3 linked regions of the Tamandua tetradactyla genome follow. The protein of the gene in region 1 interacts with the protein of each later gene in a biochemical or structural test. Links are inferred from orthologs where the notes say so. Each region holds a gene or a part of one and is shown in the gene's direction. Other genes may lie near its edges.

Evidence for each region.
Region 2: the proteins of SNTB1 (region 1) and DGKZ form a complex in vitro, tested with the Homo sapiens proteins (2 studies listed by BioGRID and IntAct, with this or other methods). The link is inferred for Tamandua tetradactyla from reciprocal best matches to the Homo sapiens genes SNTB1 and DGKZ.
Region 3: the proteins of SNTB1 (region 1) and FRMPD4 interact in a test that uses a peptide from one of them, tested with the Homo sapiens proteins (2 studies listed by IntAct, with this or other methods). The link is inferred for Tamandua tetradactyla from reciprocal best matches to the Homo sapiens genes SNTB1 and FRMPD4.

What each region holds. Positions count from the first base shown.
Region 1 is NC_135332.1:165,260,602-165,268,166, reverse strand, and holds the start of SNTB1 (beta-1-syntrophin), read left to right. Parts: upstream 1-4,561; 5' UTR 4,562-4,676; intron 4,677-4,850; 5' UTR 4,851-5,078; coding exon 5,079-5,649; intron 5,650-7,565. UniProt on the Homo sapiens protein: Adapter protein that binds to and probably organizes the subcellular localization of a variety of membrane proteins. May link various receptors to the actin cytoskeleton and the dystrophin glycoprotein complex.
Region 2 is NC_135334.1:123,054,162-123,062,258, forward strand, and holds the start of DGKZ (diacylglycerol kinase zeta), read left to right. Parts: upstream 1-5,040; 5' UTR 5,041-5,643; coding exon 5,644-5,738; intron 5,739-5,854; exon of another isoform or gene 5,855-6,845; intron 6,846-6,987; coding exon 6,988-7,060; exon of another isoform or gene 7,061-7,181; intron 7,182-7,282; coding exon 7,283-7,439; exon of another isoform or gene 7,440-8,097. UniProt on the Homo sapiens protein: Diacylglycerol kinase that converts diacylglycerol/DAG into phosphatidic acid/phosphatidate/PA and regulates the respective levels of these two bioactive lipids.
Region 3 is NC_135353.1:162,685,743-162,693,541, reverse strand, and holds the start of FRMPD4 (FERM and PDZ domain-containing protein 4), read left to right. Parts: upstream 1-4,742; 5' UTR 4,743-4,755; coding exon 4,756-4,912; intron 4,913-7,799. UniProt on the Homo sapiens protein: Positive regulator of dendritic spine morphogenesis and density. Required for the maintenance of excitatory synaptic transmission. Binds phosphatidylinositol 4,5-bisphosphate.

The sequences.
Region 1 (7,565 bases):
AGTTGACCAAGGACCTATCCCAATGGTGGCAAATAGAGGATGCTTCCCAGACTTTTAAAATTGATGATGTGCTTGTTAGTTGACAAGGGCACACCAGAGAAAACAGAATCTGCTCAGCCTCCTGTTCATGCCCCACCCCCTTGTCTCAATGCTTCATCTTTAAAATCTGGAGTCTGACCGCTTCCACACTCATTTCACACTCAGCATGTCCCCCCACCTCCACCCCCGACCTCTTTGTGAACATGTCTGTCTTTCTTAATCATCTTTGCATCCCTGGCTGTGCCTGCCTCCAGCACCTACCTTAGTTCTTAACAAGAACTAAGCATTTAATCAATATGTATTTGCACAGGGCAGGCCTCAAATGAAGAGCTTTGCATTGCAAGCACCCCTCCTGCTCCTATTTCACTCTGTTCTCTAATTTACACCCAGAGATTCAAGAGCTCTTATTTCTTTTTCTTCACTCTTCACATGACTATTTGAAAAGTCCCCCTAAACATGCTCAAACCACCCATTAGGAAACAGTACCACAATTACAATGATCATATTTTCCAAACCTAAATATTGGAGCCTGTGTTCTGGCTGGTAGAGGTTTACTTAGTGGTATTAGGAAGTCATAGTAAACGTGGGATTGTCCCTGAAAATCCACAAACATAAACTGCTGGAACTCAAAGGGAACAAGGATGTTCTGCATTGTAACCCTCCCAAGCCCTGCCTATGGGATCTGGCCCAGCCTATCTTTCCAATCTCCTTTCCTACCTCTCTCTTCCCCAGCACTGCCCCAGCCATGCTGACCTCCTTTCGGTTCCTTGAACCAATGAGCTTGGCTCTGTTTCAAGAGCTTTGCACTGGCTTTTTCTTCTTGCTAGAACCCTCTTTGCTGGATCTTTGCACGGTATCCATCTCCCCATCATTCAGGTCTTAGTCTAAATGTCACCTTGTCACAACGGCTTTCTTTAAGAGCCACCACCTCCAGTAGCCCCTAGCCTCCAGTGGCTCTGGAGCCTATTATTCTGACTTCATTTTCTTCCTGGTATGTACCTCTACAGGGAAGTATCTTATTTAGGTGTTTACAGTCTGTCTCCACCTCCCCTCTCCTACCCACTACAATGTAAGCTTCATAGGGCAGGTCTTTGATGGTTTGCTTGCTCCCATATTCCAGTACCTAGAACAGTGCCTGGCACCTGGAAGGTATGCAATAAAACTGAAATAAATGCAGAAACACCGCTCCTTCTGGCACACGCTGCTGCTCTCTTGAGTACCCTTGGCTGAGGGCCGTGCAACCTGCTCTTGTGAGTTTAAGTCCATCCAAATATCTTAGGGAATTGCACATATCATGGGAAAGATGCATAGAAAGAGCTTGGTTTGGGCTGGGTGGGAAAGGAAAGTCAAAAGTTTAGGGCAGGGCCACGGTGGCTCACTGGCAGAGTTCTTCCCTGCCATGCCGGAGACCTGGGTTAGGTTCCCAGTGCCTGCCCATGCGAATAAAAAAAAAAAGGTTTAGGGCAGAAAACAGAAGCAGAACAGGGGATGCTGCTAAGCAAAACAAATCTGGTAAAAAAAAAACAAAAAAAAAACCCACAATTGTAAAAATAAAAATTAAAAGCAGCACAGGGTGGAGATGTGTTTCAACTGTAGTTTCTGGAATACTGAATTGAACTGGTAGTCAGTGAAAGGTTTAAGAGGCGAAAGGGTGAGAAAGAAGGAAGGTAAATCGGGAAATTTAAAGCATGCAGGTGTATTTCTGCGCTCCGGGGCTGAGCTCACCAAATCCAAGATGGAGGGAGGTGAGTCAACACCTGGGCGATGGCATGGGCAGTTTTTAAGCAAGGGGTCAGGTGATATCCGGAAGGGGCGGTTCTCCAGAAGTCAGGTGTCCAGAAGGGGCGGTTCATCAGTTCCGGAAGTCAGGTGTCCAGAAGGGGCAGCTCCAGAAGCCATGTTGGGAGGGGTGACACAGCCTTGGCAGCTCCAGTTGCAGTGCCGTTCCCGATTCTCCTGACCTACCAGTCAGGACATCCCAGATTTAGACTTGACTTTGCCACAAATGCTTCCAGAGGTCAGTCGGTGCCTCTCTGTCAGCTTTACATGCTTCATCTATAAAATGAGAAAGCTAGAAGTCTCTTCCATCCTTTCCAATGATGACTCTGTAAAAGGAGAGACAGCAGGGTGTATAACCTGTCCAGATTATAAGTATTAGGGTTCTACAGTGAGGTTGAACCGCCAAGAACCAAGGTGTAAAATAAGTAAGGTCTCATTTTGAAAGTCAACATTAACAATCAGAGGTCAGATATGTGCAGAATTGTCTGGGAGATAAGGCAGTCTTTTAGGCCGGCGAGACCACAACAAGCACCAGTTTCAACATAATAGCATGTTTAAAGAAAAATAGAATGTGCCAATAAGGAAAGGGTGGGGGGTTCTGTAACCTTAGAGAGAAGGAGAGGCCACAGGCAAAACCCACCTCTGCCCTTCCACATAAGGTCTCCGCGAAGGGCCTGACCCAGAGTTTTTTCCCCCTTGAGAGGTGAACGTAGGAGCTGTAGCTAACAGGCTGTGAGTACTTTCCAGGGACATTGCTGGCCGATGGTTAAGAGTTCAGACTCTGGAAAGAATGACTGGATTCTAGTATTCATTCTGCCACTTACTGGCTACGTGACCCAGACAAATTATCATTCCTCTCTGCGTCTCCATTTCTTCACCGATGAAATGGGGTTGGTGCTAATAGTACCTTGCTGGGAAAATTACCTAAGTTAATTTGTGTCAGAACTTACAACATGGCCTGCTATTATAGTTTCATTGGCAAAGCTATCTTTGCTAAGATACATGCCTCGGGCCTAATGATATTAAATTCTTGATTCCTCTCATTCTGATGTCACTTTCAACATGCCACCTACTCCCTCCCATATAAGTTTGCTTATACAGGGGGAAAAAAGTATTAATCACAGAGACCCTGAGAATTTCCCAACCCAGAGCCTGTAATTTCTCATGGCACATAGACAAATCACATCTGGTTATGCCTGGGTCTCCCACATTGCCTGACCACAGAGACAGGATGCTTGGATGATGCTGACAGTAGATTTCTGGATTGGGGAAGTTCTGTCTTGATTTCTAAGTCAACACACTGCCATTCTGGTCCCTACCTCCCTCTTTACAGGAGTAAAGGAGTCTTTACAGTGTGTTTGGGTCAAAAGGCCAACTCAGGCTCTGATTTCCATGTACAGTGATGTATGTCCTGGACTGTAAAGCAGAGGTACGGCCTACATCAGTTCCTGGGTGAACTTGTAACCTGTGCACAGAGGCCTGGAGAGCCCCTGTGGCTGCTGTCCCTGCATGAAGAATAGAGAACTTGTGGAAAACCAGTGGGTTAAGAAATATAGGAAAGGAGGGAGCTGTACACAGATACATTAATTCAAGGGCTCCTCCCAGCCTGCCTGCAGTGCTCTACCCAACCCCTTCAAAAAAAAAAAACATGCAAACGTTTTCATTTCATTCTGTGACTCTGCCTTTAGAGTTCAGCAGAGTTGGGAAGCATCCTTGAATAAAATGATGAGCTTCCTGACTTATTGAAAGAGAGCTTTCGATGACGTTGGTGCTTGTCAGTGAGAATGTGTTCAATAAGATTTCCTTCCTCCCGACACCTAGTTAAGCTGAGTTTACCTTGAGGAATTTGCAGATATGTGAGTTTTGCTTTGTTCTGTTTTTGGAGCAAGGAGTGTAAAGGCTGTGGGGAGCTAACAGAAGCATGAAATACTTTGAGAAGCCTAGGAGATCTGCTAATGTCTGGGGAGAACTCTAGAGGCTCAAGATTCTGAGGCCTCTCAGGTGGAAGTTTGGCTGTGACATGGGTTATGTTGGCTTTCTCTGACTGCCAGTGAAGGTAAAGAACAATTATAATATTGTCACCTTGGAAAGATGCAGGCTGCGCTCCATCATTGTAACTTGTAGAGAGACTTTTGAGATACAGCCCATTCTAGCTGAGTTTTCAGATGGGGGACTTCCTGTATTGGATCTGGGGAAGAAAGAGAAGGCCCCAGAAGCATTTGGTGTGGCACTGGGTAAAAAGCTAGATCTGAAGCATAAAGCATATCATGTGTTAGAGCTGAGAGCATTTGTCCCTGGGCTCTAGGGCAGGCAGTGACCTGTTGGAGACACGGGGCCACCAGTGACCCCTCACCGGAGACTGGCAGAAAAAATGTCCCGCATCTGAGAAGAAGAGGTTCAGGGAGTTCGGGTTATGCTGACGCTTCTTTCTGGGCTCTGGGGACAGCTGGGACCCTGTTGACTGTCCAGAGCCCAGGGCCTCGGTCGGGGTCTGCCGTCCTCCTGAAAGCCCTTGCGGAGAGGACAGACAGGTAGGAACCCAGCCAGGGAAGCGAAACCTCGGTTTGAGAAAGCCAGAGATAGGAGAACTGAGTCTAAGATACAGTGGTGCGGGGAAGGACTGAGGACGCCCAAGCAGTCCGCACAGACCCGGCAAGGGTGCGGTGTAGACGCCCGCGGAGAAGGAAGAGTTGAGAAGAGAGGGTTGGGGGGGGGGGGGTGTGGGGTGGAGAGGAGCGGGACCCGGAAGGAGCTGGCGAAGCGGTCCCTGCGGCGACGTGCGCTCCGAGCAGCGCGGCGGGGAGGGTCCGAGCCGGCGTGTGGCCGTGTGACCGCCGAGGCTGCTGCGGCTGGAACAGGTGAGCGGCCGCCAGGCGGTCGGTGCTCGCCCTTGCGGGAGAGCGCGCCTTCCTCTACCGGCTCCCACAGGCGCTAAGCTGCTCCGCCGCTCCTCTCGGTCTGGGGTTTTGCAACTGGCAGCCGGCTTTTTGACCGCTCCCCCCTCCAGGCTCTGTCTCTCCTTCTTCTTTTAGGTTGCTCCACCCCGCCCAGGAGCAGACGAGGGGGAACCAGCTGGGCTGCGGCTGCCAACTCGCGCCGAGTGCGTCTGCGAACTCCCGGGGTGGAGTCCCGCGTCCTGCCACCGCCCTGCGGGGCGCGCTCTCCTCGCTTCCCCGGGCCCCGCGTCCCCCTGCCGCGCCAACCCTTCCCCACTTTTCCCCCCTTTTGCAATCGCATGGCATTTTAAGAATGCCGGAAAGATGGCGGTAGCGGCGGCGGCGGCGGCGGCGGGGCCGGCTGGCGCGGGTGGCGGCCGGGCGCAGCGGAGCGGGCTGCTGGAAGTTTTGGTGCGGGATCGCTGGCACAAAGTTCTGGTGAACTTGAGCGAGGACGCCCTCGTTCTGAGTTGCGAGGAGGGCGCTGCGGCGTACAATGGCATCGGGACCGTCACCAATGGCTCGTTCTGCAGGGGCGCCGGGGCCGGGCACTCGGGCGCAGGCGGCGCGCAGCCCCCGGACTCGCCCGCCGGCGTCCGTACAGCCTTCACCGACCTGCCGGAGCAGGTGCCCGAGTCCATCTCCAACCAGAAGCGCGGCGTGAAGGTGCTGAAGCAGGAGCTGGGCGGGCTGGGCATCAGCATCAAGGGGGGCAAGGAGAACAAGATGCCCATCCTCATCAGCAAGATCTTCAAGGGGCTGGCGGCGGACCAGACCCAAGCCCTGTACGTGGGCGACGCCATCCTGTCTGTGAACGGAGCCGACCTGCGGGACGCCACCCACGACGAGGCCGTGCAGGCGCTGAAGCGCGCGGGCAAGGAGGTGCTGCTGGAAGGTAAGGGGTTAACGCCGCACCGGACGCGCCCACACCCACTGCTGCTCCCACTCGCGCACTCGCACCCCCGCACGTGCCATCGTGCTGCAGGTGTCCGGGGAGGTGGGGTGGCGGGGAGTTGCGACAACTTTTACCCACATGGGGTCTACTTCTCTCCGCCCCTGGAGTCTTTACAGGCCTTGACCCAGGAAAGGTGTTGGACCGGAGGCCAGATGAGTAGGATTAGCGAGCTCCTACTGTGTGCCAAGCACCGGGCCCGGTGCTTGGTGCACGTTGTCTCATTTTATCTGCAGATAGTGTGCGTGTAGCGTAGGGACTGAGGAGCTGAACGGGAAGTGAACGGTAGGCTTAGAGATACTCACCCGTCGCGGTTGCGAAGCGGGCCCACCGGGTAATTGCAACTCGTAGAGTTTTCCGCTTTGGCAGCATTTCCCTCTCAGAAGCCCGGTAAACCAGCAGAAATGGGTTGAATCATAAAGGGGCAGAGAGAGGTGGCAATGTGTGGATGCTAAAATTCTAAGCGCCTCTCTTCGCCTCTGCAAATTGGGAGAGCGCGTTTATGCCCGGAAAGTTGTGCCAAGGGCTGGGAAATTGGCTGCAGGTGTTTTTTTTTTTTTGCGAAAGTTCACTTCTGCCCGATGTCTGAGGGATCTGTCTGGATTCCGGATTGCTCTGGGTGTGAGGGATGGGTGAGGTGGTTTTTCTGCCCCTCTCTTTCCGTGGCTTTTTTGGAAAGATGTGGAAACAACTGTGCATTTGCAAATAGTTTCCCATGCATGTGTAGCGCCTTTGAACCCACTTTCCTGGGATGGGGTGTGTCAATCCACTAATTATTGGATGTGAATAGAATAGGAGTAACTGCTGTACCCGTTTGTGTATATGTATGGGGTTGTGTGGTGGAGAAGGGCAGTAGGTATGAAACCCATAATGCAGTGGCCTTTCCATTGTATTTTTCATTTGATGACTGCCTGTCTGTACTTTAGCACTTGGTGCTTGTGGCTATCAGCACTGATTTTGTGTAATTATTTTTGTCTATTTACCTAGCTTTCTCCTAACTCTAGATCACGTTTCCTGAATTTTTATTCAGATGTGGGTCACGCTTGAGTGTACAAGCTCAATCACATGTGTTGTGAGTGAATGAATGAATAAATGAACCCGTAGCCATTAAAACAGAGTGTTTCAAGTTGAGACCTCAGAAACTGGCGGTTGATTTAAATCTTAACTCAAGGCTTAGATCAGTTTTCTAGATGGGGTGCTGGGGTGTGGAACTGAGAATGTTCCGAGTTGGGAAAGCAGCTTCGTTACCTGGCCTAGAATGCAAAGAGCTTATTTTGCTTTTGTTACTGTTTTTCCTCCTTACTTGTATACAGGCTCTGTATTGTCTTCATAGTTAATCACCAGCCTGGATCCAAAAAGTGGAAGGCTCTTTGCTTTGGCCTAATGATTACCATAAGTAAACAGAAAAATATTTCCTTGATTCGAGTGTGTGTTGGTTTGTGTGGCGAGTGGCAGGTGGGATCTGAAGCAAGTGTAGTTTGGACTATAAACTCCTGGAAACCTGATCAGCTTGCAGTACTTACTATAAAATATCAGGGGGTAGGGAGGGGTGGACAAATGGAGGGCATTTTTACTTCAGGCACCGTCCTTTATTATATCCCTTCCTTTCTTCCTTTCTTTGGTTTCAGTTTAATGAATAGTGACTTGGTAAAGAGGTAAAAACAAATCTCTCTCACCCTTTGAAAAGAAAAGGTGGTTCCCTGCATTTGAAAATCTTAGGTAAAGGAAAGAATTCCAGCAGTTGAGACTGTTGAGACTGTAACTGAAAAGTGGGCTGTGGGGTAACTCTCACATGATGTTCTTAAGAACATCGTGTCTTGTGGAAGGACCTCTTGGAACAACCTGTGGACTTCCTGAGC
Region 2 (8,097 bases), on another chromosome or scaffold:
CGGCGGCAGAGGACCCAGATGGGCGGTGTGGAGTGATGACCCGGAGTGATGTGCTTGTGGCTGGAGCAGCTGTGTCGAGATGGGGAGGGGAACCTGCAGACCGGGCGGAAGGACTGCCATGTACAGGGCACAGCAGAGAGCTTGGGCCCTGCCAGATGGGCATGGGAGAAGAGATCGGCTTGGTTAGAACCCAGGGTTTGCGTCAAGGCTCAGAAGGTCCAGTTAGTGCCACACTACAAGAGCCACATCTGCCAGGCGGCTGCGGGGTTTGGAAGTCACTCTGAACCTGTAGTGGTGCGGCAGATGCCCTAGGCTCTGTGAGAAATTGGTGAGGTTTAAGCCATTTTCGTAGTAATACAAAGGCATTATTTGCCTTTTTTGCTTTGCTAATATTTGTACTGATGGTAAAAAAGCAATGGTAGAAACTCTGCAAGTGAAATCATTGCCCACCCTCCTGCAAGGGACATGACACCCAGGGGTGAAAGTCTCCCTGGTGTGGGGTATGACTCCCAGGGATGAGTCCGGCCCTGGCACCGTGGGATCAACAATGCCATCCTGACCAAAAGGGGGAAAAGAAGTGTGACAAATAAGGTATCAGTGGTAGAGTTCACATAGAGTTGAGAAGCTATTCTGGAGCCTACTTTTTTTTTAGTGTTTTGATTGAGATATTTTCATGTGTCATACAGTTCATCCAAAGTGTGCAATCCCTGGCTCACAATATCATCACCTAGTTGTGTGTTCATCATCGTGATCATTTTTAGAATATTTGCATCACTCCAGAAAAAGAAATAAAAAAGAAAAAAATCCATGCATCCTGTACCTCTTACCCCTCGCTCTCATTGATCACTAGTATTGTAATCTACCCAATATTTTTTTACCCTTTATCCTGGCGCCCCCCCATTATTTATTTATTTTTTGTCCTTATTTTTTTACTCATCTGTCTGTATCCTGGATAAATGGAGCATGACCCACAAGGTTTTCACAATCACACACTCACATTGTAAAAGCTGTATCATTATATAGTCGTCTTCAAGAATCAAGAACTGCTGGAACACAGCTCAACAGTTTCAGGCACTTCTCTCCAGCCACTCTAATACACCATAAACTAAAAAGGGATGTCTGTATAATGCAGAAGAATAACCTGCAGGGTAACCTCTCAGCTGTTTGAAATCTCTCAGCCACTGAGACTTTATTTTGTCTCATTTCTTTTGTCCCCCCTTTTGGTCAGGAAGTCTTTCTCAATCCAATGATGCCAGGTCCTGGCTCATCCTGGGATTTCTGTCCTACGTTGTCAGGGAGATTTACACCCCTAGGAGTCATGTCCCATGTGGGGGGGGAGGGCAGTGAGTTCACTTGCCGAGTTGGCTTAGAGAGAGGCCACATCTGAGCGCAAAAGAGGTTCTCTGGGGGTGACTCTTAGGCGTAATCTTAGCTAGGCCTAGCCTGTCCTTTGCAGGATTCATGGGGACAAACCCCAATATCAAGGTCTCCCTATTGATTTGGTTGTTCCCATTACTTGCAAGAATATCAGGAATTCCCCAGATGGGGAAGTTTAATGTTTCCTCCTTTCTCCCCAGTCTCCCAAGGGGACTTTGCAAATACTTTTTTATTCTCTGCCCGAATTACTCTGGGATCTATCGGGACATCACGCTAACCTGGACAAACCAACGACATCTCACACCCTGGTCAGGATTCCATGTAATTACAGTGTTTGAATGAACACAATTAATACAAGTTAAATTAGATAATGCGCTACCAAAAATATAAATTTTGTACCAAATAAACATCTCTGCCTTTGGTCTCACACAGAAGTTGAAATTTTAAAATAGAGACCATATCATCCTTTACCCTTTAGTCTGGCTTGCCTTAGTCCTGTCCAGATCAACTTCATTCATATCTCTAGGTGAAGTCCGATCACGTTTTCAACTTTTTATACAGTTGTTGTATGGGCTAATGTTGACTTTCAGAGCTGTAGTTCTGAGTCTCAGATGTTACACAAATCCACGAAGTTCCAGGGAATGACCAGATTATACACAAATAGCTCAATATCTCAGAATTTAGAAATAACAGTTACAACTTTGGAATAGATGTGACTGCTGTTAGAGCTTGCAATCTCGGAACCTTTACAATAGGCCCCGGTCCCTCCATTTCAGTTCTCCGGGTTTGTATATTAGTTAGTCCGTATGTGTGGGGCATGATGATATTTATCTTTCTGTCTCTGACATTTCATTCGGCGTACTGTCCTCAAGGTTCATTCACTTAGCTGCATGCCTCACAACTTCATTCCTTCTTTCAGCTGCTCAGTAGTCCATGTACACACCACAGTTCCCCCTTCCATCCCTCGGTCGTTGCACCCTTAGGCCACCTCCATCTGTTGAGAATTGTGAATGCCGTGGCCAGAAACACCGGTGTGCAAATGTCCATTGGTGTCCCCACCCTCAATTCCTCCAGGTATATATCCAGCATCGGGGTTCCAGGGTCCAATGGTAACCCCACCCCTGGCCTCCTGTGGTCACCGCAGTGCCTTCCGAGGGGCTGCGCCTCTCTTCTTCACAGCCAACAATGAATAGTGCGTCTCTTTCTCCACATTTCCCCCAGCTCTTGTTATCTCTCTGTTAATTTTTAAACAGTTTTTGCACATCGTACAATCCAACCTGAGTGAGAATCAGGGGTTCCCAGTGTGGAGGCTGCTCTTACACAAGCTTCAGCTGGAATGCTGATTACCAGGGTTTGCCAGACCCCAACCCAAACTGCTCCTGTTAACCCTGCAGAACACCCAGCACTCTTTCAGAGGTTCTGCAAAGGTTCCAGGCACTGTGGCAACTTTCCAGAAACCTACAACTTCCAGATGGACCCCTGGACCAGATAAGTCCTGAAATGCGGAGGGCGCAGCCTCTCCAGCACATCAGCTAGTTCCATCCCCCTAGCCCTTATTACTGACAGTCCCTTCCAACATGGAGAACTTAGAATGGCCATAGCCCAAATACACCTGAAGAGTGGGAGAATGATCAAAGGTGATGGTGGCATTATATATGGAGAAGGTCGGGTTTAACAAATGAATCTGCTGCTGAATCATTATATTCATAAAGTCCATATTCAAATTCATAAAATGATTATAATCATTTTAGTCTCCAGTGTCTTGGAGCAGCTAGAAGGAAAAACCTGAGATTGTGGATATATGTTATATTTCATAGAAAAAAAGGTTAAAAAAAAAAGCGATGGTGGGTAAACTGCTGGAGCCATAGCACAAGTCAAGGCCGCGGCCCACCACGTGCGAGTCGGCACTCACGCGCATGTCATGCCACACGTTTGCAGTAAAAAAGAAAAAGCGCAATAAAAATGATTGATTTGGGAGTCTTGACCCTGAGTAGGTATCATTTTAGCATTCTGGCAAAGAAATGGGAAGTATACAAAAATCAGCTTCCACTACAGACTGGACTGTGGTGCCACTTTAAGGAAAAGCTCTTGTGCTGCTGTTTGAGTTGCAGGCTGTCCTGTTTGTTGTTGTCAGGGACACCGTTTTACTCTCAATAACAGTCAGCGCGCTGTTCAGACTGGGCTGTTGGGCAGACATTATCTTGAAAATGAATAAAGCGAGCAGACATTTGAACAACTGGATCAGTATTTGTTGCCATTGAGGAAATTTGGGCTTTTGGGAGATACTGGAACTTTTCTGATGAGATCTTCAGTGATGCTGGCAAATGTCACTTTTTTGATATTGTGTTGTATGATGAAACTTGTCAACATTTGGAAAACTTGCATAACTCAATAAACCAATATTTGCCAATAACCATTACTTGATGCCACAGATTCCAAAGTGCAGGATGGACCATCGAAAAGTTCATCAGTGTTGTTTCTGATTCCACATTGCAGCTAACCGTTTAAGAAACAGCCTCTTGTCATATTTTGGCGTGTAGCAACGAAAAATATCTATAATTATTCTGAAAAGACTATTAAAAATATTCCTCCCTTTATCAAATGGATGTCAGTGTGAGACAGAATTTTCTTCATATACTTGAACCAAAACAACATATTGCAACAGATTGAATGCAGAAGCAGATAGGAGAATCCAGCTGTCTTCTGTTAAGCCAGACATTAAAGATTGCAAAAATGTAAAACAATGCCACTCTTCTAACTTTTTGTTTTTTAAAAAATACAGCGCCCCCCCCCCCCAAAGTGTGTTATGTTAACATGTAGTGGGCTTATTGTTTTTAAATGGATTTTTCAAACAGTTCTCGGTTTTAATTCCTAGCAGGGTCAATATTGAGAGCTATAATGTACTCAAAGTGTCGTCGGCATCCTCAGTGTAATTTTTAAGAGTGTAAAGGGATCTTGAGATTTGGAAGTCTGAGATTGCTGCTCTGGACCCTCAGGGGCCGTCCCAGGAGTGTGAGCCGGAGTGGTGAGCCTGCTGGGGGCAAGCGTGTGGTGTGGGGCTCCCCCCGGGGCGTCCTGCCTCTTGCCCAGAGCCAGGGCCCAAGGGACTGGACCAGGAGTCCCCGCCCGGCCCCTCGAGGGTGTCCGCCCGCTCAGGGGAATGCATGGTGGGGAGTGCTTTGTAATCTGTGAAACACTCCACCAGTGCTTACTTGTGTGGCTTTTTCTGGAGCTGGTGTGCTTAGCCATCTCTGACCCTTTCCCTGCACCCGAGAAACCTGCCCAGTGGGAGCAGGAGGGCGAATGGCCGGCTCCCCTCCCCTGAGGCCCAGGCATTGGGGTTCTCACGCAGGCCCCTGGTTTCCCCCTGCAGTCTGGGCATGGCCGGGCTGCCGGGGACCAGGCTGGAGGGGAGGCCGCCGGGCTGTCGCTCAGCCTGGCTCTGGGAACGGTGGGAGAAGGAGCCAGGAGGCGAGGCTCGTGCGTGCGCAAGTGTGCCGGTTCAGCCGCCCACCCGCCGCCTGCTCGCTGCAGGGCTTGGAGCCGCTGCTGGAGAGGAAGTGCCGTCGGTTACCAAACGGGTTATTTTCATAACGGCTGTCTCAGGCTGGGGGGAGGGTGGCGGGGGGAGGGGGCAGAGGCGCAGCCGCCACCGCCGCTCACTGTCCAAACTAGGACTTGCTCTGCTGTGAGCTGGAGCAGTGCGGGGCGCTGCCTGCGGGGCCCCCAGCCCCCACCCGCCCACCTCCTGACTGCTGCCCTGCCTTCCAGACCAGGTCAAAAGGGGGCTTCCTCTGGCTCTTCCTTCTCCCTCCCTCCCCCTGGGTGGGTCTGTGGGAGGGGTGGGTTGAGGTGGGCTCGGGCTCTGGTGCCATCATCCCAGTGAGGGTTCTCTCTGCTGGCGGTCTGGAGCTGATAGCAGAGGGGTGCTGTCACCCTTAGCGGTCTGCTCGTCGCTCCCGCACACCCAGCCCAGTGCTCCCTGTGGCCCAGCTGTGCGGTTCTGTCTGGGGCAGACTCTGCTCAGCAAGTAGAAGCCTTGGGGGAGTCGGGGCCCTGCCTTGCCAGCCACCCCAGGCCTTCCAGCCGTCCCTGCTCCTGCCCCAGGGCCTGTGGGAGCAGGGCAGCCTGGGGTGGCTTTTGACCAGCAGCCCCAGGCCCTGGTGCACTGGAAGTGGGGTCACCGTGCACCATCCCCAGCCTTCACTGAGCAGAGAGGGTCTCGGCCCCTGCCCACACGTGGAGTGGGCACTCTGGCCCAATCCCATGGGGCAGCCTGTGCAAGCGCCTGTGGAGGAGCTGGGGGGATCTGGGTGCTCCCAGGGACTGAAGGCATCCTTGCAGCATGAACAGACGTCCAGGTGACACTGGCTGCCGTGTTCCTCATGGGTGGGTGGTGGCCTCCTAGGCACTCTTACTTCTCTTTCTTGGGTTCCCACCCCCGCCATGGGAAGCACAGTCCACGCACCTTTGTGCCCACTGCAGGTGATGGGTCCGCCGTGGCCCTGCACTCTGCCAGGTATTGTCAGGCCCTTTACGTCTGTCATCGTGCCTGAATGTTTTGCAGATGAGGAAACCCAGACTGGAAGGTTAGCTGATGGGCTCGTGATACCATGGTGGTAAATGGCAGGTGTAGGATTCCAAGACCCTTGGGCTTTTCTCCTCACAGTAGGGGCTGTGAGGCTGGTCTGGGTGGGGGCTAGGGGCCCTGTCCTCCAGCCCATGCCAGTGAAGCTGGGTGCTTGGCCCTCTCCCCCACAGCCAGCTGCCTTGGCTCAGCAGCTCACAGCCACGCAGGCTGCCGTTTATCAATTGGAGGGGGCAGACTCCACCAGGCCTGTGTCCCTCCCCCAAGTCCCAACAGCCCGCTAGAGGTCGATGGGCCGCATGAGTCCTTTCCCATCCTGTCCCCTTTGGGGTCCCCCCAGGCCCCTGGACACAAAGCCAGGAGGCAGCCGTTTACTGTGCTCTTGGTGTCAGATGCCTGGGGGCCTGCTTTGATGACCTTGCCATGCACTCTGGGGTGTGTTGGAGGTGACAGAGAGCGTGAAATGGAGAGACACTGCTGCCCAGAGCTGTGCTCTGGGGAAAGGCCAGGGCTGAGTGGCCAGACCCAGGAGAGACCTCAGCAGAGACAGGAAGTCAGGAGTCGGGCGGTCACTGACCAGAGGACACGGGTTTCCATGGAGATCCGAGGAACAGGAACCCGGGGCCTTGGAGGAGTGCCAGGCAAGCGAGCTTGTCAGAGGATGTCCGTCAGCCCACTAACGGCCTTCTCAAGGAAACCAGGGCCAGGAGGGGACAACTTTCCACGTGGTCACACGCCGCATAGGCTCAGGCCTGCCTGCTTGTGGTCCACTGTAGACTGCCCGCACCGTAGGAAGCCAGCCAGGGAGGTCTCTGCCCAGTGTGTAGGCAGAGCTGGGGTGCACCTGGGAGCTGCCCCTCCGCCTCTCCTCTCCTTCCAGGTGTGAGCAGTCGGCCTCTTCCTCCGGGCTTTTCTTGCCGAGGTGGGCCTGGGGCCGCAGCAGGGCCCCACATACTGCCGCCCAGGGAGCCTGCAGCCCCCCCCCTTGCTGACTGTGGCCTTTGTTTTCTGGTTGACACCAGCATCAGGCCGTGTGTCCGGGTGACTCATCTCCTCCAGGCTGGGCAGCGGTTCCCAGGCAGCCTGACCAGACAGGTGCGGAAAGCCGACACCCTCGGGGCGTGCTCCTGCCAGTGCCCAGCAGTGGTGGGCAGGCGGGACACTGGGCAGATCCCAGAGTGGCCGGGCCAGACCAGGGACGTGCGGCAGCTAGGCGGTCAGTTCCCCTTGCCTTGGTGGTGCCAAAAGAGCTCGTTAGCCCAGGCCTGTCACCCAGCAGGTGCTGAGGAAACGGGGCAATTGTTTTTTCTATGACAGCTCCCTTCCTTGGCCCTGTCCCGCCTTCACCCCGCCTTGCAGTCCAAGAGGAAAGATGCCTCATGCTGCACCCGCCTCCAGAGCGCAAGAGGCAGGCTTTGCGGTCAGCTAGGCTCACGTGACCCCACAGCTCTGCAAGGACTAGCGGTGGGCTCAGGCAGGTCACTGCGCCGCGGCTTCCTCACCAGGAGCTTGCACAGCACAGGGCCACCGCGCTGGGTGGTGGGGACGTATGAAGTGGTAGAAACGTTCGCAGAGGTCTCGGCTCAGCTCCTGGGTAACGTTGTTACTGTGAGAGTGCCCTTCAGATGTGGCCGGGGCCCTGTCCACACCTGCCCTCCCGCCCCCTTTGAGTGGGGAGTGAGAAGGCCGTGCCACCCTTTCTTTGGCCGCCTGCAGGGCTGGGCCTGTGAAGGCAGGGACCAGGAGCTGGGCAGGCGCTGACTGCCCCTGCACCACTGTGCCCTGCCTGCCACCCGTCCATTCCCCTGCCTAGGGCTCGGGCCTGGGGCTGCCTGCCCTGACCCACAGGGTCCAGTGGCAAATGAAGACAGTGTGTGGGTGGGGGGAGTGGGCGCGAGACGTACAGGCCAAGCCCAACTCCCCAAGCCCGTCAGCTCCACCTGCGTCTCCCTTTCTGCCCACCACTTGTCCGGGGTGCCCAACTACCTGCCTAATGGCTGCCAAGCCCTCAGCAGGCAGAGGTACTTCTCCTGGTAGCTTCAGGTGGTACCGACCCATGGCTGTGACTCGGGCCTCCCTGTGGCTTCCTGGAGGTGTCGCCACCCTGAATTTTACCAGGCTTCCTGCCTGTC
Region 3 (7,799 bases), on another chromosome or scaffold:
TTGATTTGCTTTTCATACTTTAAGATGGAATGAGTTCATCATGTCTGATACTTATTCCTTTCCATTCATTTAACCCCAGACAATAAAAATAATAGCTAATGCTTTTTGAATGCTTACTTTGTGCCAGACGTTTCGCTAAGTGCTTTGCTTTACTGTGTTCACTCATTCAATTGGCACCATCATGTTTGCAGGTTGTTACTAGGATTGTTGCCACTTGCCAGAGGAGGCAACTGAGGCACACAGAGCGCTGCAGTGATGTGTGCAGGTCCCACTGCTAGGAAGTGGTGGGGTCAGGACTCAAATCCAGGCAGTTTGGCTCCACAGTTTCACTCCAGGCGGCAGCGGCGGTTCTCACGTTCACCCTGAGATTGTAGCAACTCGCCCTGAGTGGTTACTTGTGCAAACCAGGAAGGGTGACCTCCTTGAGTGGAAGAGAGTGTCTCATGCCACGGGGATCCATCGGGACACAGGACTTGCATCATGATGGGTCCATCCTCACCCGGAACATGGGGCGGATGCAGGAAGCAGGACCCAGAGCAGGCATATATATTCCAAACATATTTGAATTTTCATTTCTTGCCATCTCTAGCACTCCCACCTTGGTCCAAGCCATTGTGATTTAAAAAAAAGTTTTTAATTGTATTACGGTAACATATATATAACATAAGATGTCCCATTTTAACCACTTTTTAGCATCCAATTCAGCCATGTTCATTACTTCCACAGTGCTATGCTACTAGTGCCCCGTGATCTTTTGCCAGGCTTGATGCAGCACTCCTGCCTCACTCTGACTGCTTCCACCGGGGGCCTCTCCAGTCTGTTCTCCACTCTAAACCTACCGGTGTTTTCCTATTTCACTCATAGCAAAAGCCAAAGTCCTTCCAAGGGCCTGCATGGTCTGCACTCCCCTCTCCCATCACCTCTTTCCCACTGCCCTCACTGCCTCCAGCCACTCACACTGGCTCCACGCAGTTCCCGAGGCAGGCGCTCACCAGGCACACGGTGCCTCAGGACCTTTGCACGCATTTGGCATGCCCAACACCCTGACTGCTCCTCCCCAGACAGTTCTCCAAGCCTGGACATAACATGGAGCTCCCCTCACCTAGCAGCTCCCTCTCCCGGACCTTTCCTGCTTTTGTTTTCCCCTTAGTGGTCTTCATGGCCAGACATACTACATATTTTATGAATTTATTAGTTTATTCTCTGTCTCCCAATACTGGAGAGAACATTTTACTTTTTGTCTGCTTTCTTCACCACCCCAGTACTGAGGGCCCATTATCCCCAGTACTGGGCGCCCAGTGGGCAGGTGTTTTAGTTTGCTAAAGCTGCTGGAATGCAATACACCAGAAATGGGTTGGCTTTTATAAAGGGGATTTATTTAGTTAGAAATTTACAGTTCTAACTAAATAAATCCGAGGAAAGGCGGCTAGCTTTCATCTGGGTTCCTCTGTCACATGGGGAGGCACACACAATGTCTGTCTGGCCTTCTCTCCTGACTTCTGGGTTCAAACAGCTTTCCCTGGGGCGTCTCCTCTCTGCATCAACAAATATCTGGGTCTATATCAGCCCTGAACACTGAGCTGAGCTGTGTTGAGCTGCTTTGCTCTCTTCTGAGTTCTCCTTTTAAGCCTCCATCTGATCAAATTAAAACGTCACTCATTGCAGAATGCACTCCTTTTAGCTGACCACAGATGTAATCAGCCGTAGAGGAAATTCACATGCTGATGATTTAAGTCCACAGCAACAGAACAACTGGACATCATCACCTGGCCAAGTTGACACCTGAACCTATCAGATCAGTCAATAAATATTTGTTGACTAAATGATTGCATTATGGAGTGGTTTGGAGAATTAAATGTGCTAATATATGGAAAGCATTTAGAACAATACTTAGCACAGAATTAGGGTTTAATAAATGTCAGCTCTTAATAATAACATGCTATTGAATAGATGGATGATTGAATAAATTAGATACTATTACATTATCATCAGGTAATGGAAAGAAGATAGTCAAGCCAAAGATATTTTAAATATTTAAACTTAAATTTGTAGTACATGCTAGAAGATATAATTGGGGATGTCATTTGTGCTGTTTTCTCCTATTATCTAGAAGGCATACTACAACCCACCCTTGCTTGGGCAGGTGCATGGTCCCCAAACATTTTCACATTTTAGAATCACCTGGGAAGCTATTAAAAAAACAAAACAAAACTGTGACACCTGGCCCCCACTCCCAGTTACTCTGATTTAATTGGTCTGGATGAAAACTGGGTGTTAGGTTTTTGGTTTTTTTTAATGCTCCCGTGGTGATTGTGATGTGCAATAAAATTTGGGAACCACTGCTGTAAGCTTTTCGCAGAACTGGCTACAACAAGGGGAAAGCCTTCCCCTGTCCCTCTCTGGGCTTGGAATTCAGAGCGAGGCCAACCAGCATTCAAATCTCTGCTCTCCAGGCTATGGGTGTATTAGCAAGTCCATTTGCTTCCACCAGCCTAGCCTTGCTCGTTTATATCTGCAGTGTGAGCTGTGGATGCTGAGAACCCAGAGCTCAAGGCCAAGCTCCAACAATGGGGATACTCCTTCCTACCTTTCTTTCTTTCTCCCTCTCTCTCTCCCTTCCTTCTTTCCTTCCTTCCTCCCCTCCCTTTCTTCCTCCCCACCCAGGGCCCTGCCTGAGACTTGTGCCCTGAAGACAGGGGCCCATCCCACGTTGGCTTTGCTGGTTTCATCAGGGTTTTGAACTCTGTCCTACCGATGGCCTGGCCTCTCCATGGGACCGCCTGCCCACCTGAGGTCTGCCCCCCCACCCTCATCTCCAAGCATGCACCCCACTTGGTGGCTGGGTCTAACCTCTGGATCCAGACAGACACTTTCAATGTCACATAGAGCAACCCCTCCTCTTCTTCCCTGTAACGTTGCTGTTCTGAGTGTGGATATTTCTAGAATAGTGGTGGTACAGTGGATAGCCCACTACCAGCGCCCTGGACTCAGAGGGTCCCCACCCTGGGTTGAATGCTCTGCTGTCACCATCTTGAAATTCTTGGTCATTTTTGAACAGGGAAACCCACATTTTCATTTTGTACTGTGTGGGCAGACGATGTAGCTGGTCGTATTGACTAGACTCAGAATCAGAAGACCCAGGTGTGACTTGCACCTGGCTCACACCTTAGGAGGGTATGCCCTGGAGCCAGTTAAATTTGCTCTCAGCATTTGCAAAGAGGGGATGGGGGACAGGCTACATGTCAGTCCTCTGTGCACCTCTTTTCACCTAGCCTTCCAGATCCCAAGGAGCTAAATCAAAAAGACATTTCCTTTCTGCTTAAAGGGAGTTTAAACTTTGCTTTTCCTACTGAGTGATATATGCCTAAAGAACAGATCCTAGAGGAGTCTCATTGATGAGACTTGCCTCTTATTAATTACTCAGAAGGACTACAGGACTTCTCCTCCCCTGTTTTTCTTGATTACATTTGAACAATATGTTGTCCAGATGGCATACAGAGTAGCATCGTCCAATGTCCTTAAAAATGATCTTCTTTTACTTATTGAAGAAGATTAGAGAGAGAGCAAATTGAATTAGGCCCATGTCGTTGAAATAATCTTGGCTTATGTTGCTTTAAGGAGATTTCTAGCCTTCAAGCTAATAACTCTTCCCCAGAAGATAGCTGCTGGGATAAGATGCCTGGGTAAGGACTTCATTAAGAGTCACAGGAGTTGATTTTAAGCCCTTCTCTCTGGCACACCAGCCACGGGTCCTGAGTGACAGTCAACTGTTCTTTGATCTCAGCTTCCTTATTAGGAAAGTTTAAGTAATAACACCTGCTCTGCTCCCTCATTCTCAAGGTGGTTTTGTGGATCCCATGAAATATCTGTGGAAGCGTGTTGAGAATTTTTGACTACTGTCCAAATTACAAGTTTGGACTATCGGTGAGACTTCTGAAGTTGAGCTGTTAACCAAAAATTCATGTAAATCATTTGAAAAGCATTTCGTAAAATAAATGCCAAGAACCAGATTCTAAACTCCATGGGAAAAGGGTATGCATTTGATATAGGATAGCCTTTCACCACCAAAATGATCCATGACGCTCAAATTGCATTGGAGCCTGGAACCACAGATGTCACCTAGGAAACGTCCATGTCACTTTGAGACTCTTCCTCAACATATCAGTTATAATTTGATGGTTTTCCTCAGAGAAATATCTTTTTCTCTATTAATTCAGTTAGTTATTAGGCATCTACTATGGGCCAGGCACTGCTGTAAGCACTTGGAGTAAATCAGCAAATAAGAGAAATTCCTTGCTCTCATGAGTCTTACATTCTAGAGTGGAGAGAAAAACAATAAAAATAAGATTACAAAATAATTATATTCTGCAGCATGTTAGCAGGTGATCAGTGCTATTGAAGAAAAATAAAAAGAAGGAAAAGGTGCACAGGGATTGTGACTTAAAAAGAAAACTCTTTTAAGAAGATTATATTTGAGCAAAGATATAAGAGAGATGAGGGTAAGCCACACAGATATCTGCAGGACAAGCATTCCAGAGAGGGGGAACAGCTGGTGCCAAGGCTCAAAGCAGGCATGGGCCTAGAGTTTTCAAGGCACAACAGGGAGGCCACAAAGATGTTTCCCCATATCTTCTCCACTCTCTACCAAACAGAGCACAGAAGGCTCAGAAACTAGACAATTTGCGATTGTCGGGCTAATGTACAATACATGCATTGATGCCTCTTCTCTTGTGTGTGTGTTTTTTCTGCAGTCACATGACACAGGCAATCCCCTTTGATGACCCTCGGTTAGAGAGCTACCAAATCATCCCTCCAGCTCCCCGGAAGGTGGAAATGCGGAGGGACCCCGTGCTGGGGTTTGGTTTTGTGGCAGGGAGCGAAAAGCCAGTGGTCGTTCGCTCAGTAACACCAGGTAAGTACCCAACCCCACTCCTTGGTCTTCTAGAGCCATCTGCCCCAAAGATGACATAAGCAAAAGCTTGAAATGTGTTTATGCAGTTGGAATTGTTTCTTGGGCTTTGGTTATGGCCATGAGAAGTTTCCCCCTGCGAGGTAGCCGCTACCCCTTCAGCCTGAGCCCCAGGATGAGCGCATGGGGCAGCAGGTCTGCAGTCTGGAGCTAAGTGCAGCCTGACCCACAGTTTGAAGCAGAACTACCCAGCTGAGCTTGGCCAAGTCCAATCAGTCTGTCGTATTAAAGACCTGTGAGCATGAGAAGAAACGACTGTTGGGCAACCACTAAGTTTGTCAGTTTGCTGTGCAGCAAATGCAGACTGATGCACACAGGGCCAAATCTCTTAAATTCTGTAATCTGGTCAGAGAAGCAACGTACTTTGCCTTGGTCATCCTCATGACGAACAGGTATACACGTCCCACTATCATCTCACTCTAACGCAGTAGAGTTAATGCAGGTACCTGAAGTGGGCTGCCTTTGCCTTTCCCGAAACAATGCTTTTGCATTTATTTATTGTATGATTTATGTACTTGTTTTACTGTGCTTGTATTGGATTTATTTTCAGACAAAAGGAAATTTTCTTCCATGCTGATTATCTTTTGCAAATCAGTAAGAGTTCAGTAGTAAAGTACTGTAGTTAAGAGCAAATTCTTCCTCTGTGCCTTATTAGATATTTTTTAGCTTTCCTGTTATTTAAATGCCCTGCATTTCATTTTAATGTAACTTCCCTACATCATCTGAATAATGGGGATCACGGTAGTGTCTACCTTACAGGGCCATGGTGAGAACGAAATAAATTAGAAGAGTGCTCAGTACATAGTTAACACACTACAAATGTTTATCATCATCATCTTTTAACTCTAAAATATTTGGCCAGTTGAATCTATCAATTAAGGAAAATACAATCAACCATTCTAGACTTGTGCTTAGAAGAGTAAATTTCCTTTACACTCCTACCATTGTCTTACCACACACTCCTTCCTTTGCCTGCTAGAGCTCTTTATTTTATTAGATATAGATAACAGTTTAATACTCCATGTGGGATTATCAAGCCTAACATTATTGAGAGTTTTATTCTTAAACTGGTTTTGTTGCTTTTTGTGATAACGAAATAATACATGTGTTTTGTAAAAAAAAAAAATACAATGTAGACAGTATAAAGGAGAAAATTTTTTTAAAATCACCTGATTTCCTACTATCAAGAGAAAACCATGTGTAATAACTATAATTCAGTGTGTATACATACACACACAAATACACTCACATATTATATATATATATATATATATACACACACACACATATATACATATTGTCTGTATAAATATAAACATAATTTTTCCCAAATGGGATCATATTAGGCATGCTGCTTTGTAATACCGGTGTATTTTTAGATCCCTGCTTATGAGATTCCGCAAAGTATATATCCTCCCAGGAGCTGACTAGAGACTCTAGCCATGTTTTTCATTTTCTTGCATTGCCTCCCTGTTCCTTCAGCCTCTTCCCTTCCTTGGCCTTGGCCCTCTCTGAAGGTTCAAAGACACTAATACCTACTGTTAGACAATTTTGAGAAGAGTAGAAAAAGTGAAAACAGAGGTCAAAGAGAAATGTTTCCAGTCAAATTTATGAGTGAAAATGTTGGTCAAAGAAACTGTGTCTATCATAAAAGCAACTCTACCAAAGTCCCAAGTGATTTTGGTGGTGTGACCTGATTTTCTATACTAGACAACCAAGCCTTCAGAGCAAAGGGCATGAGACAATTCTCTGAAGCATGCCCCTGTTTCATATCTTGGAAAGAACTATGTGTTGCTTCCTCCAGATTTCTTGATTTAAGTTGTTTGATTAAGTAAGAATCTTTCCACTGGATTGAAAAGCATTGGTCAAATGTAAGACAGTGTCCCATTAATTTTAGAGTAGTTTTCTTATGGGAATAATAATGATCCATCAACCAAACAGTTGATTTGAAAACTATTCTGTGTTTGGGCAACATTTGATTGCTAAGCATTTGTTTGAGTGAATTTGAGTGACTGCATGCCCATAATCCAATAGTTATGATAAGTTTCCCTAGGGATTTTCCAAATCCCTGATGTGTGCAAACACTGAATTTTAGTTCCCACATCTGTGAAATGAATATTTTCTATCACTGATATGGGGCCATGTTAAAGTTTTCCCCACTCCCCTACTTCCCAAAAGGAAAACAAGTTTTTTGACAGCTTGAGGGACACATACGCCAAGTTTCTGAGTGGGTGGGAAGCAACTGAATTACTTTCAGTTCCATGTTCAGGGCATGAAGTGTTCATTTTGACTACTAAATAAAGGAACAGCAAAAATATTTGAAAGATAACATTTTAGCAGGACGTGTCATTCGGTGATAGACCTCTGGGAACAGATAGATCTTATATAGATAGAAATGTTAGGGTTATCCAGATGACCAAAGTTCCATTTAAATGCAGATGTGTGGCTCACACAGATGTGGCTTTAAGCATATGTGTCAAGAGACCTGGTGGCAACAAGTCTTTCAGTTATGGGAGCAGGGTTAAAAGAGGTGTTGGCCATTCTGAACTTGGAAGATCCAAGCTGAGATCCAGTCCTACTCCTTCAAGCCAATCTCAGCTTGCGTTAGCCTCAGTTTTCTCACTATATGGAAAGGATTATAGTGTACAGTTGGGTTTAGTAGGCAAAGCATTTAGCTCATTGCTTGGTGCATAACAAATACCCAGCAAATATTAGTTCCCTACCTTCTCCTTGGAAAAACAACTGAGAAAGAGAGAAAAGCAGTCAGGCTCCTACAGCTGGATCTTGGTTTTCTGTTGAATATGGATAATTTCACAGAGCATCAGTATCA